Caenorhabditis elegans: one gene and its partner. The protein of the gene in region 2 interacts with the protein of the main gene of each other region in a pairwise test. Each region holds a gene or a part of one and is shown on either strand. Other genes may lie near its edges.

Evidence for each region.
Region 1: the proteins of unc-83 (region 2) and bicd-1 interact in a two-hybrid assay, tested with the Caenorhabditis elegans proteins (one study listed by BioGRID).

The regions. Positions count from the first base shown.
Region 1 is NC_003282.8:6,566,066-6,573,999, reverse strand, and holds the start of bicd-1 (Protein bicaudal D homolog), read left to right. Parts: upstream 1-1,663; 5' UTR 1,664-1,671; coding exon 1,672-1,872; intron 1,873-2,282; coding exon 2,283-2,759; intron 2,760-3,143; coding exon 3,144-3,281; intron 3,282-3,541; exon of another isoform or gene 3,542-3,562; intron 3,563-3,655; exon of another isoform or gene 3,656-3,676; intron 3,677-3,733; coding exon 3,734-3,926; intron 3,927-4,243; coding exon 4,244-4,431; exon of another isoform or gene 4,432-4,449; intron 4,450-4,515; coding exon 4,516-4,608; intron 4,609-4,661; coding exon 4,662-4,905; intron 4,906-5,074; exon of another isoform or gene 5,075-5,096; intron 5,097-5,596; coding exon 5,597-5,979; intron 5,980-6,082; exon of another isoform or gene 6,083-6,103; intron 6,104-6,486; exon of another isoform or gene 6,487-6,512; intron 6,513-6,761; coding exon 6,762-6,938; intron 6,939-7,178; exon of another isoform or gene 7,179-7,199; intron 7,200-7,651; coding exon 7,652-7,771; 3' UTR 7,772-7,934. UniProt on the Caenorhabditis elegans protein: Part of a complex with dlc-1 and egal-1, which is recruited to the nuclear envelope by unc-83, where in turn, it recruits dynein to the nuclear surface and regulates nuclear migration in hypodermal precursor cells.
Region 2 is NC_003283.11:6,463,264-6,468,100, reverse strand, and holds the start of unc-83 (Nuclear migration protein unc-83), read right to left. Parts: upstream 3,037-4,837; 5' UTR 2,889-3,036; coding exon 2,817-2,888; intron 2,668-2,816; exon of another isoform or gene 2,468-2,667; intron 1,715-2,467; exon of another isoform or gene 1,534-1,714; intron 1,097-1,533; coding exon 998-1,096; intron 137-997; exon of another isoform or gene 1-136. UniProt on the Caenorhabditis elegans protein: Cargo-specific adapter that is involved in nuclear migration during development and thereafter.

The DNA of each region.
Region 1 (7,934 bases), on a different chromosome or scaffold from region 2:
CAAGCGAAACACAATATTATTTTTCATACTGTAATACATATATTCGATTATTAATCAAAAATATTTTTTGTGTTGTTTAAAAAATTGTTTTTAAATTACAAGAAAAATTGCATGTCTGCAAAACTTTGATCGACTTCTGCAAATTTTTTAATAAGCTTCTACGAGTTTTACCCAACTGTTCTCTTGCATACGTAATTTAAATTTTTTCTCGTTTGATTTTTTTTTGTTATAATGACTAAAATGTTGTAACAAACCAATAAAAAAGAACACATAATAAAAATACCCAAAACAGAATTGGTTGGAAAAATATGCAATAGTTTGAAACATTACCCGAATTCTGAAAGGTTTTTAAAGTGAAGTAGCAAAATTTTTCAATTGATTGAAACATTAGAAAAGAGCCAAAACTTTCAAAAAATCTATACTTAGCGCTAAGACTGTCATTTTTTGTCGCAGCGTCTGGAAATGAATTGTTATAAAAGCATGATCAGTTATCACACTATTTTGTAGTATATTTTAAATTTATTGGAATACAAATGTTTCAAAATTTGAATGCCAGTAGAGTGCTTTAAACAATTCCGGAATAAAGACTCAAACTAGAAAATTAAGATGATAAATTGAAAAGTTGAAAAAAAGCCCGTTTCTAGATTTAGACTTTAGGAGAATGCGATTTTTAAAAATAATTTTCATCCGGCATAACTAAAAAATTTTCAAAATTTTCAAGAAATCACATTATGAAATTCGGCCATTTATGCTCATTTATAAACAATTGTAGTTAATTTTTGTACAATTTCTGTCGCTGAGTGCAAAAATAAGTAACCAAAGTCTTCAGAGCATTAAGGTAGTTTCGCCCAAAAATTTAAATTCTAGGTTTAAGCTTAAAACGAGAGCTATTCTTTGACAGTTATTACTCGCATGGTTAATATCAGTTCCTTGAAAATCAATCAATAACCCCAAAACCATATCATTTTATGTGACTAAACTTTCCTTCCAAAAAAAAAAGAAAAAAATGATCTGACTCATCAATTTCCGGTGATTTCCCCCGTCTTCCGTGCTCCACCCAGAACGGTTTGCGGAGGCATTAGAACAGTAGTCTCGCCCCGCATTTGTGTCGATTTTGGCTGCCGAGTGAACAAAAAAAACGAAACAGCACTCAATATTTGTGTCAGGTCAGCCACTCTTTCTTCCATTCTCTTCTATTTGTTTTTTGTTCATTTCTATTCCCTATTTCTCTCTATTCTCTTTAGTCCATTCTTCATTTCATAATTCTACTGAAACTAGTGTTACCTCTATCTCTAAACTCTCCTCTCAACCTGTACTATTTCTCTCGCGGGAGCCGAAAACGAAAACCTTATGAATATACAATTAGTTTTTCGACACCCTCTCCTAGTCGACAAAACGCAAATTTCCAAAATTGAACCTGTCGCACTAATATCTTGGAAATTTTGAAATTTACTTATTCCTGGTTTTGTTTAATTTTTGTTTTTAAAAGAAAATGTGGTCATTTGAGAACATTTTATTTAAATTTAAATTTTTAAATTTTTTCCTGTTTCAAATTGTAATTATTTCAACAATTTTTTAAAGGAATACTCAGTGAAGTATTTTTCCCCCTTTTTAAGTTATTTTCATGTTTGATATTTCCAACTCTCTAACATTTAAATTTCAGCAGCCACAATGGCTGAATCAGAATTGGAGAAGCTTCGTCAGGATATTGCAATCCTTACAGAAAAATATGAACAAGCCAAAGAAGATATTCATAAGGCAGCAAATGCGGGTTTAGAATTGCTCCGTCAAAAGGAAGATCTAGAGAAACGATTAGCAGAGATGCAGGCAGAATTGGATTTGGCAAGAACTGAAATTGATAAAACTAATCAGGTAAGTATTCGATTTCGAAAATAAAAATCGGAAAAAATATTGAAAAAAAATTAATGTTTCAAGTAAATGGTAAATATTCGAAATTTTTCGTACTATTTCATTTATTTTTAAAATATAAGCATGCAACTATCAAAAAAATTTTATTCAGACTTACGCAGGTAGGTAACAAAAATATAGGAAAATTTTTCACTTTTTTCGTTTTGTTGCAGTCATTCTTACCATTTTTTTTAAATATTTCATAAAATTTTGAACTGTAAAAATATAGAAAAATGAACAATCAACATTTTTGTCAGCTTACAATTTTTGATGAAGATGTATGAGCTGCCAAAATTGAGCTTAACAAAAGACTAGTAAAGTGTTAACAAAATTATTATTGAAGCTCAAGTTGTTCAAGTTGCTCTTATTTTCAGACTCTTGCTGAATACCGTTCCCAACATCAACGGTCCACTCGAAGTGAACTCGAAAATGAAGAATCTCTACTCGAGGAAAGTTCAGCAAAAGAAGAGGAATATCTACAGAGAATTGCAAAATTAGAAGCAGATCTTAAGAAAAAAGAACAAGAATTGGCAGAAAAGAAAGAAGAATTGGAAAGTATTGAAAAGAAACATTCGAAAGAAATCGATTCTGGAGCTGCATTAGAAGATGAAAGAAGAAAACTTAGAGCTGAATTAAAAGAAACAAAAGAAAGAGAACAAAGATTAATTTCTGAATATTCAGAGTTAGAAGAAGAAAATATTGGATTACAGAAGACTGTTGCAAATTTAAGAGGAAGTCAAGTGGAATATGAATCATTAAGAATTGATAATAATCGATTGGAAGAGACTATTGAAATTATGAAAATGGCTGCAGAGGAAGATGAAATATTAAGAGTTATTGCTGACAAACAGGTGAGACACTTTGAAAAATTACAACTCTCTCAGAAACTTTAACAAGTTTTCCTAAAAATATGTGAATAATTTCAAACATTTCCCTATTTGTTTGGAATTGCAACTGCAAAAACATTATGAAATTTTCATGTCTATTCACTATTTATTTTTGATCACGATTTGAATCGTAATAAATACAATACAATACAATACAAAATTTATTAGGTGATTGAAACAGTAAAAAAAACGAAAACTAGACAACTTTTATTTTAATTTTATAACCTGTTATTATTATTTTATAGCTCCCGTTTTTCATTGAAATTTTTGAACGGGTCGCCTCAATGTATATTTTCAAAACCTCAATTTTTGTATGAAAAACTTTCCAACTTATCATAAATATTTCAGCTCGAAGAAGCTCTGCTCACAGCTCAACAAGAACGGGATCAGCGATTGGCAATGAAAAGAGAATTAGAACAGACAAGAAATGCAGAGCATATCAGTAGTTTAAATGATATGCTTTTTGGATTGGAAAGGCTTGGGGAGGTTTGTTTTTTTTGTTAAAAAATTAAAACAATTAACTTTTAATAAAAGTTTGTTTTCCTATTTTAAAAGTTCCTGTGAAATTTTGTTAAAACACTTATATACAAAATGTCTTTTGTATACGTGAATTTTAAAAATACATTTGATAACTGATAATTTGAAACTAAACTTAACAAGTTGGGAAGAAAAAATTGCTCTTAAAGAAAAATGAGCTTCACATGTTTCGTATTCAATTTATATTGGCCAAGAGGAGTGTTGTAGGCTTGTTCTTTCGGTATCGATTTTTCTATTATTTAGTCAAATGTTATTTTAATATTTCTGTGTTCAAAAGGCGCATGAAATGGCAGAAACACTTGAATTAATTGTTGAATGAAAGTGTGGCACATGCTTTTAACGGACCACACGCTCAACACCAAACATTTTTGTATAAATCTTATGAAACAGTAATTTTTTAGGACGGCGAACTGCCACCTCCACAACCTGGAGCAAGTGACCTCTTCAGTGAATTACAAGGATCAAGTGATGTAAAAGTTCGTGAACTGGAAGCTGCAAAGGAAGGACTTCAAGAAGAATTAAAGAGCAGAGAGAAGATTTTCATCGAATTTGTAACCGGATTAGCAGACACCCTCAATATTCATAGACCAACAAGTGAGTTTAAATAGAACATTTCAGTTTGATTTGGAGTGTGATAAACCATTGAAGACATGGTGAAAAGTTATAACATTCAATTTTCACCAAATTTTTCAATGTTTCACATTCATTTCATATTGGTCAACGGTAGTATTGGAGTCTAGCGTAGATGTATGTAGTTTTTCAGAGTTTTCAGGGTTTTGGGTGAATAAAAGCTTCGCAAATTTCCTTTAAAATGAATATTTTATCATATTTACAATTAGTTATATTCAAAATTATTCAATTTTTAAAAAATTAGTTCCCCCGTGCATTCCCTAACAAAGTTTTCTTTACAGATGAGCTCGACTACATGCATGCTCGTCAACAAAAAGACGTTGTACTAGAGAAAATCCAGAACATTGCTCGTGACACTGACCGTCATGATAAAGAAGGAGAAGAAAAACGATCGGGAATTTTGAAGGCTGATTTGAGGACACTTGTATTGGTTGCTGGAGAGAAAAGTGCTCAGTTGGCAGCTGCTCAAGTTAGTTTTTGAATTAAATCATAAAAGTTTCATATTGCGAACCAAATTAAGAACATTATGAAAATGTAAATGTTGAAAATTCAGGACGCAATGATTCAAGTCTCCGATCAACTTTATCAATTCTACCATCAAATGACACAGAACCAAGGAGTTCAAACAGAAAAGAGTGTACAAGAGGTAAATTTTATTTTAATATTTATAGAAAATGAACAGAACTTTGTATATTTCAGATTGTGAAAAAGTTGCGTCTATTGGCTCGTGCCAATGCAGAAGACGTTCCACGTGTCTCGTTGGCAGATGAAGGAGTTGAAAGTGGAACAGAGACAGATGTTAATGCATCAAGATCAATTCCATTGAATTCCGATCGTCTTGTTATTGCGCCAAGTTTTGCGAAGGAAATTGAGAAAAAGTTGGCAAGTGTCAAGATTGGCGATGTGTTGTCAGAGACTGATTTGAGGCAAAGAATACTTACTGGTTTGTTTAGTTTTTGAATCGCAAAAAAGAGCTGGATACAAAACTTTTCCAAAAATGTACAAGTTTTAGAGAAGATGCTACAATTAAAAAAAACAACGAGATTTTACGAAAGACAAATAAAATTACTGTTTCAACCAACTTTTATCATAAATTGGGTTTATATTAGCTATTTGAGTCGAGGTTTCAACACTACATTGAATTTACTGTACTTACTGTATACTTAGTATACTTAGAATACTTACTGGTTTGTTTTTGAATCGAAAAATTCAAAAAAAGAGCTTTGCCAAAAGACAATTCTTCTTCAAATACTTCATTTGGTTGAAAATATTTGGAATGTCTAGCAATATTTAAATCGATTAATAGAAGCAGGAAAAATTTATTTTTTATTCGAATTAAATTTTTCAAGAATAATTATTAGTTTTAGAGAAGTTGCTGAAATAAAAAAAATTTTGGAAGATAAATAAAATTACTGTTTCAACCAACTTTTTTTTTCCATAAATTGGAATTCTATGAGCAGTATGTTTTTCAATATTGCATTGAATTTACTACTTTGTATCAAACATTCATTTAAGGTTTGATGGCGTTAAATTTAAAGAGTGATTAAGACTCTTGATATTAAACGTTACAACTTTCAATTTGCCAATATACATCTCATTCTCACATTCGAATATATTAAATACATTATTTTCAGAAGGAAATGCCATTTCCGAAACCACAGAATCGTTGAAAAAGATGATTCAAGTGGTGAAAAGAACCTCTGAACAAGCATTCAATCAAGCAGTTATGGCAAGTGGAGCTGAAAATGAAATTGAAATGCAGAATATGAAATTGCGAAGTCTTTTATCAACAAAACGAGATCAGATTTCAACGCTTCGAACTGTTTTGAAATCGAATAAGCTGACTGCTGAAAGTGCATTGACTTCAATGAGAGAAAAATATGAATCAGAAAAGAAAATGATGATGGAAATTAATGATAAAATGAGAAGAGAATTGAAACAATTGAAGGAAGATGCTGCCACGTTTGCATCTCATAGGGCAATGTTCACTGCAAGAGGAGAGGAACTCAAGTCAAAGGTATTTAGTTTTGTTTTGAAACAGTTAGGAATTTCTAATTTCGGGAAAAGTATAGCTTTTATAATATGACATACGGTAGCTCTGTTTAATTACTAATTCAAACATTTCCATTCCAGATTCCCTATTACAAAATAGATATACTTAAATTGTATCTGTAGTAGTTGAAACAGAAACTATTTTTAATATTTAAACTTTTTAGGGTTATTAACTTTTACTTTGAATTATTTTTCTCGTTGGAAAAAAAATCGTTTTCTCAAAATTTACAAATTTTTATTTGGAGTCAAGTTTCTGACCTGGCAGCTTAATGAAAATTTCTCAAGTTAGTTGCTTTCTCAACAGCTAAACGTTAACAGATATTGACTATAGTTTGACAGAAGTTGTCAAGTTTTTAAAGAAAGTTTCCCCCAAATGCCGAGTTGATAGATGCGATCATCTTCTAATTAAAACTTTCCGTAAATGAAATTACTGTTTCACAAAGGATTTATTTTGAATTGAACTTCATTTTAAGTTGATAGTCATAGGGGTATATCTAACCATTTTCTCACTTCTATTGTATCTGTAGCAGTTGAAACATACTTTTTTTTTAATTTTCATCTTCGTACAGTTTGTTTACTTTGAATTATTTTTAACATTTAAAACTCGATTTGTTTTTTACTTGAATTTAGTGTCTGAACTCTGAATTTGAAAAAAACATATGGTCAAAACGCAATATTTTATCACTTTAATCGTATCTGGAGTAGTATCTTCTGTAAATTTTAAAATCAAATTTAACAATTTTCCAGGTGGAAGAACTATCAAACGAGTTGCGTGCAAATGAAGAGGAAAAGAAGACATTAAATCAACTTCTTCGTTTAGCAATTCAACAGAAGCTCACATTGACTCAACGTTTAGAAGAGGTTGAAGTTGATCGGGATAGGCAGGTATTTAAGAGGAGTAGTACAAGAGCTCCAACTAGAGAGGTGAGATATTAAAGGTGTAGTATCGTCCAATGTGACGTCTTTAATGGAATCACTGATTAAAAACCATAAAAATTAAAACAGTCTTTTTTTTAAAAATTTTTTTAAAAATAACTTTTTTAAAGTTCTTTATGACCCATTTTCTCTAATTTGAAGAAAAATCTCAACAGACGATACTCCGCCTTTAATTATGTTCACTGTTTCAAAACATTCACAAAAAAATGTTGAAATTTCAAAAAGCAATGATTTTTTGATATACAGAACACATTGGAAGGCGGATTGTTTCTTTTGGGGAATTTTTTCGAAATTTATTTGATATGCCAAGAATAACAAAGAAAAAACGAAAAAAATTGGAAAATTTAGTTTAAAACGATAAAAAAAACCTTTTAACAAAGACACAAATCTTTCGCCAAACGTACAAAACTGCCTTTTTAATATGACAATCCAATCTTTTTAAATCTTCAATTGATTGGTATGGAAATGCAGAAAAAACTTTAATTTTGGTGAAAAGCTTGAAAAAATCTTGAAATAGTGCTCGAAAGTTGAAGTTTTGCCAAAAAACTTTACGCACTTTTAGCTACAAACGGCAATTTTCAAGCACTATGTTATGATTTTCTGGAAAAGTTTTCGACAAAATTAAACTTTTTCTTACTTTGAAAAATCCAAAAAAATTGTTTTTTTCTTCTAGAAGTTAATTTAATCTTCTCCGTTTTCAGACCTACCAGCCACCGAGAGCAGTTCGTTATCCGGGTTCAACAACAACAGCTCAACAGCCAGCACCTTCATCTTCGGGGGGCTCGAGGGGAGGGCCACGCAGGGGAGACAATCAGCAATAAGCTGGTGGTCAGGTGATGACGTGACAACGATGAGAAGACGACGAACACCTACACCAGAGGATCCAAATGATCAAGAATCAATTAATACACAAAACCACGTCATCACCACGTGGCCCTACGACCTGAAAAATGAAGAAGATCCCCAATTATTGATTGATTTAAT
Region 2 (4,837 bases):
CGCACACTATTGGGGGCCACTTTTCTGTGGTTCGGGGGGCGAGATGTTATTCGATACTATTTGGTATAATAATTTAGGAAAGCTAATTGAATCGAAATGTGTGGCATTTTCTCAGGAGTCAGTGGCAGATAAAATGAAGGATCTTCATCAAAATGTTTAGTAGTAGAGGTTGCACAATCAACCAACTACATTTGATTAATGGGTGACCTTCCAAACAAACGGCAATTGCCACAAAAATTGGGTGAGTATATTGAATGAGTGTGGGAGGATAAGAAGCACAGAGAGATGAGTTGCAGTGGTCATTTGTTATCTCATTGAAAAAGAGCAAACGATTTGAGGATACTTTCTTTTTAAAAATTTTAATCATCGGATATTGAGAAGTACAACTTTATACCTTCAAAAATTGGTTTTTTTTTGTTGTTTACTCTATGATTAACCGCTTAAATTTAGATGTAGTTCATGGAGTGAACAAAACTTACTAGTTAGAGCAAGAATAAGTTAGCTATGTTTTTGTGAATGGGAAGGGTTTATTTTAATTTATCATTCCTAGATCAACAAGTCTTGAAACTTCAACCAGAAATTAATTCTGGTAAACTTTATGTAAAAACTGTATTTGGAAGATTCAAAAATTCCCTAAAGCACAGGCAAAAGGCTTGTCAAGTGAATGTTTTCAGTTATCCATCACCACATCTGCCGTAATATTTTCGTACCAGGCTTGTGTTCAATTGACAGGCTCGTAACGTTTCTCTTTTTGATAATTGATGACCCCTTAAACTATTGCTATCTCTTGCTCAATCAAATGGACAACTGCCTCAAGTTTGCAAAACTTGATCTTGATATCAGAGGGCTAAGCAAAAAACTTTGTTCAAAGAAAAACTAGAAGAAAATCGAGAAAAACAGGAGGTTCTTTTGAGGCCAGCTACACCTAATTACTCTCCCAGTTTCACTTGATCCATGGCAACCAAACGACACAAGCAATAAAACAAATAAGACTTACTTTTGAGGTGAGGTTGTGCAACGAGTCGAGGATTAAATTGTAGAGCGAGGAGCAGTTCTCCAAAAAGATATCCACTTCCTCAGCCGACGATTCGATGACCTGGAAATTAAATTATTGATCATTAAAATGGGCAAAGTAACAGCTGGAAAGATATCTAGGAGATATTTTTAACGATGGTTGTACACGCGCAATTCGATCTTGTACAGCTGCGTAGTGCAATTTAATAAAACAGTTTATAATTTGATACAAATAAAAAACCAAAAAAGGTGAAACAAGATTTTCAAAAAAATGTAATTTGTTATTTTCATTATTTAAAATTGTCAAAATTATTCTGAAAAATTAAAATATGCGCCCATTTTTCTAAATGACCCTCACAAACGATTTAACGACAATCAATGGCCACCCGCTCTACCAAAAAGAAGTGCTTTGCTTTCAGTGTGACTGTAAAATTGGTAATTCCGAGTCAATTTACGATTTCTCGACCTTCCGGGCGGCCCACTTTGCAATAAAACGAAGAGTAAACCTGACGTTAATCGATTCAATTGCCAAAATTGAGAGGATCAAGGAACATGGCACAGGAATCGTTGTGTAGGAACAACCAAGTTTGGAGAAATGCACTCGAACTTGCAAGTTGCTCTTCACTGCCGAGATGCGCACCTCGAGAAACACTTATGGTATTGGGCACTCGGAATCATTCTCTTCTTACTAACAGCTTTTGCCAAACAAAGTTACTAGTAGTCGCGCTCTGGGAATGTGTGTGAATGGCGTGAGGATTCAATGGTCCGCATATTGTTTTTGGAAACAAAAAGAGAAATATGGGGTAAGTCAACAAAAAAAGGTGTCCATGAATGTGTTGACTTTGCGGTACCTTAACAAGGAAATCTGGGAAATACCTATACTTACTAATAATACAATGAAATATTTTACAAGGAACCTAAGGTGTCAGTCAATTATTTCTCATGCGAATCTTTTAAATATTAAAAAGTATCGCATTTTAAAGGTTTTACACATCATTTAGCGGACCAATTTTGATAACTTTTATGTTTTTCCTGAAAAATGGCTCTCAAAATTATGTGCAAAATCTCTGAAGATCAATATAATTATGTTGTCTGAACTTGATTCTGCGCTTTTTTGCTAATAAATGTACTTAGCACATAGAAATAATTAATATTTTTTAATGATAAATTTTCGCACACTGAAATATGGGAATGTCTTAAAATCTCTTGAAATTTAAACTCCCGTCATCAATAGTTTTACACTTTCTCCTTCAAACTTCTTTTCAAGATAACCACAGTTTTCAATTCAATTTACTTCGTCGTCCCCCACCAGATCAAAACATTCGATAAGAAAAACTAAACGATGCGGAATTTGAATGTGCGACACTAACTCTTTCCACCTCCAGTTATAAATCTTTGAAGCACAGCGAAAAAAAACTTCAGCCGTTCGTCTTTAGTCAATCGAAAGAAAAAAAAAGATAGCGTGGAATTCGGGATTTTTTGCGCCAAAATTGAAAACTCGGCCTCTCGGGCTTTTTGACAGCTTTTTGCAAACAATTGATGGCGCAAGGGTAAATGCTCAAGCATTTTTCAAAAAGGCACTTTCAATAATCAAATAGATTTGAAAAATAAAATTATTTTCGCTCGTTTTGGTTTAGAAAAAAACTACATTCTACTTTGGTTTGAATAAAGAAATCGAACTTTTAATTTTTTTTCTCCTACTTTTAACGAAATTTTACTTTTCAAATGAATTCAATATGCAAGAAAATGCGTTGAAAATTTTAAAGTATTTTTTTTTCGTAAAATTTAAAGCTCTGCCTCACCTTCAAAAGATGGTCCTCCGATGATATATCATTGGGCATCTCGACCTCCGAGAATGAGTCCATTACGTCCATTCGTAACCTGTTTTCGGGTTACTTTCGGTGTCCAGGAATAAAAATAAAAAAATCAGAGAAGTTTGTATCCAGACGTGGGATACTGTACTGGTAGGGGTGGACGATCAATTACGCATCTGCGCAATATGATCACGGATGAGAAACGGATCTGGAAAAATTTAGTTTAGACGGAAAAATACTTAATCAAAACGAAATGAGGTGAAAATTTAAAAATAGAAAAAGTATATACAATTTTTTGTGTGTAGAACAAAATAGGAAAAATTTCGTGAAAAACAAAGAAAAAGAGATTAGTTGTTTCATTGGAGCTGAAAATAAATTTCAAGAAGAGATTTCTGTTGAGATCAAAGTCAAGAAACGGAAATTCAAGTCATATTGAGGATAGAAAATTTGCAAAATATATACTCAATTCAAAACTAGCCTAGTTTACCAAAAATCTATGAAAATTGTGTCGAGCAGTAAAACATCCTTTTAAAGATAATAAAAAATGTTTTTAATAAAAATGTAGAAACACACGAAAAACTTCATAAATGTTTTACTTATGTATAGTACGGTTTCCATAAAATTTGTTAGGCCAGTTTTTGAAAATCCAAATAAAAATCCATGGATTTCATGCCCTGGACAACAAGCCATCGCCCGCAAAAATGTTCGCAAATTAAAAGATAAACATAGAAAAGTGTGAGATGCTCGAAATCTGCCCCCCAATCCGAAGTCTCCGCCTTAATAAACAATAATACTGATGAGAGAGGAGAATCTAGAGAGTTGGGAAGAGAAGCTTGTGATGATGATGGATTATCATGTCATTCACACAGTTTTCGTTTCTTTTCGACACCTGATAAAATAATAAAAGATGATAATTATGATGGAGATATTGTTTTATGAATTTTTATGAAGATTTATGAAGATATGAAAATATGAAGAGATAGGTGTGAAAGTGATAAAAAAGAGATTGGACCAGGGAAATCAGCTGGAAGATTTTATTTTGTGTGAAAAAGTCTCGTGATTTCCAATAAAAAATATTAAGCAAAATTTATGGAAATTATCACAACGAGGTCCAAGAAATTTCCAAATTACTACAAAATAGGTTGTAGCTTTCAAAAAAAATGTAACTTGATTTAGAAAGTTCTGGAAAATATCAATTAACAAAACGTTGGAAAAAATATTTTTGAACTTGTTGAAAATTGAATTAAATTCCTTTTTTTTAAATTCAAGTTTCCACCCATTCATTTTTCAATTAAAATTGAATCTATGGAAAACTGGAAAGGAACAAATCGAAATTTTGAAAATGTTCACGAATAGATGTCCAACAGCACATGGCCCTGACACTTTTCGAATTTATTGGTTTTGTTGCAACAGGAAGTTCCCCCAATAAATGTGATAGAAACACAGTGAAACGATGGGATAATGGACCCAAGTTAATGGAGTCGGAAACGGCAGACAGCCCCGGCTCATTTATCACCAATGTGCGAAACATTGTGATACTAAAGTAGAAAAGGAACACTTTGTAGTGCCCGAATGTTTTACGAGTTTTAGAAATGATTTGAAGTACAATTTAGAAATTTCATACTTGAAATATTCTGAAGAACATTGCAAAATTTCAAAAAGAAAACATTTGTTTCTAGACTAACATCAAAATTACAACGCATTACCAAAACTGCAGAATAAACTTCGAACGTCGTGTCTAATTTGTTTCACAATTAAAACTATTTAGGCCCTTTGTCTCAAATGTTTGAGGGAATCTACGGCAAGTACTTGCATTACTATCAATTTGGTAGAATGTTGGCTCTGCATTGGTTGATAATAAAAAAGAAGAGACAACCGTTTTTATTTGATAATGCAACAAAATGTCGCCCAAACTGCGCTTCTCGTTTGCCCCCAGTGACTCATAGAGGGGTAACACTTTCAAAAACAGTTAGAAAACTTCAGCTCCTTCTCAAAATGCGTAAAGCCAT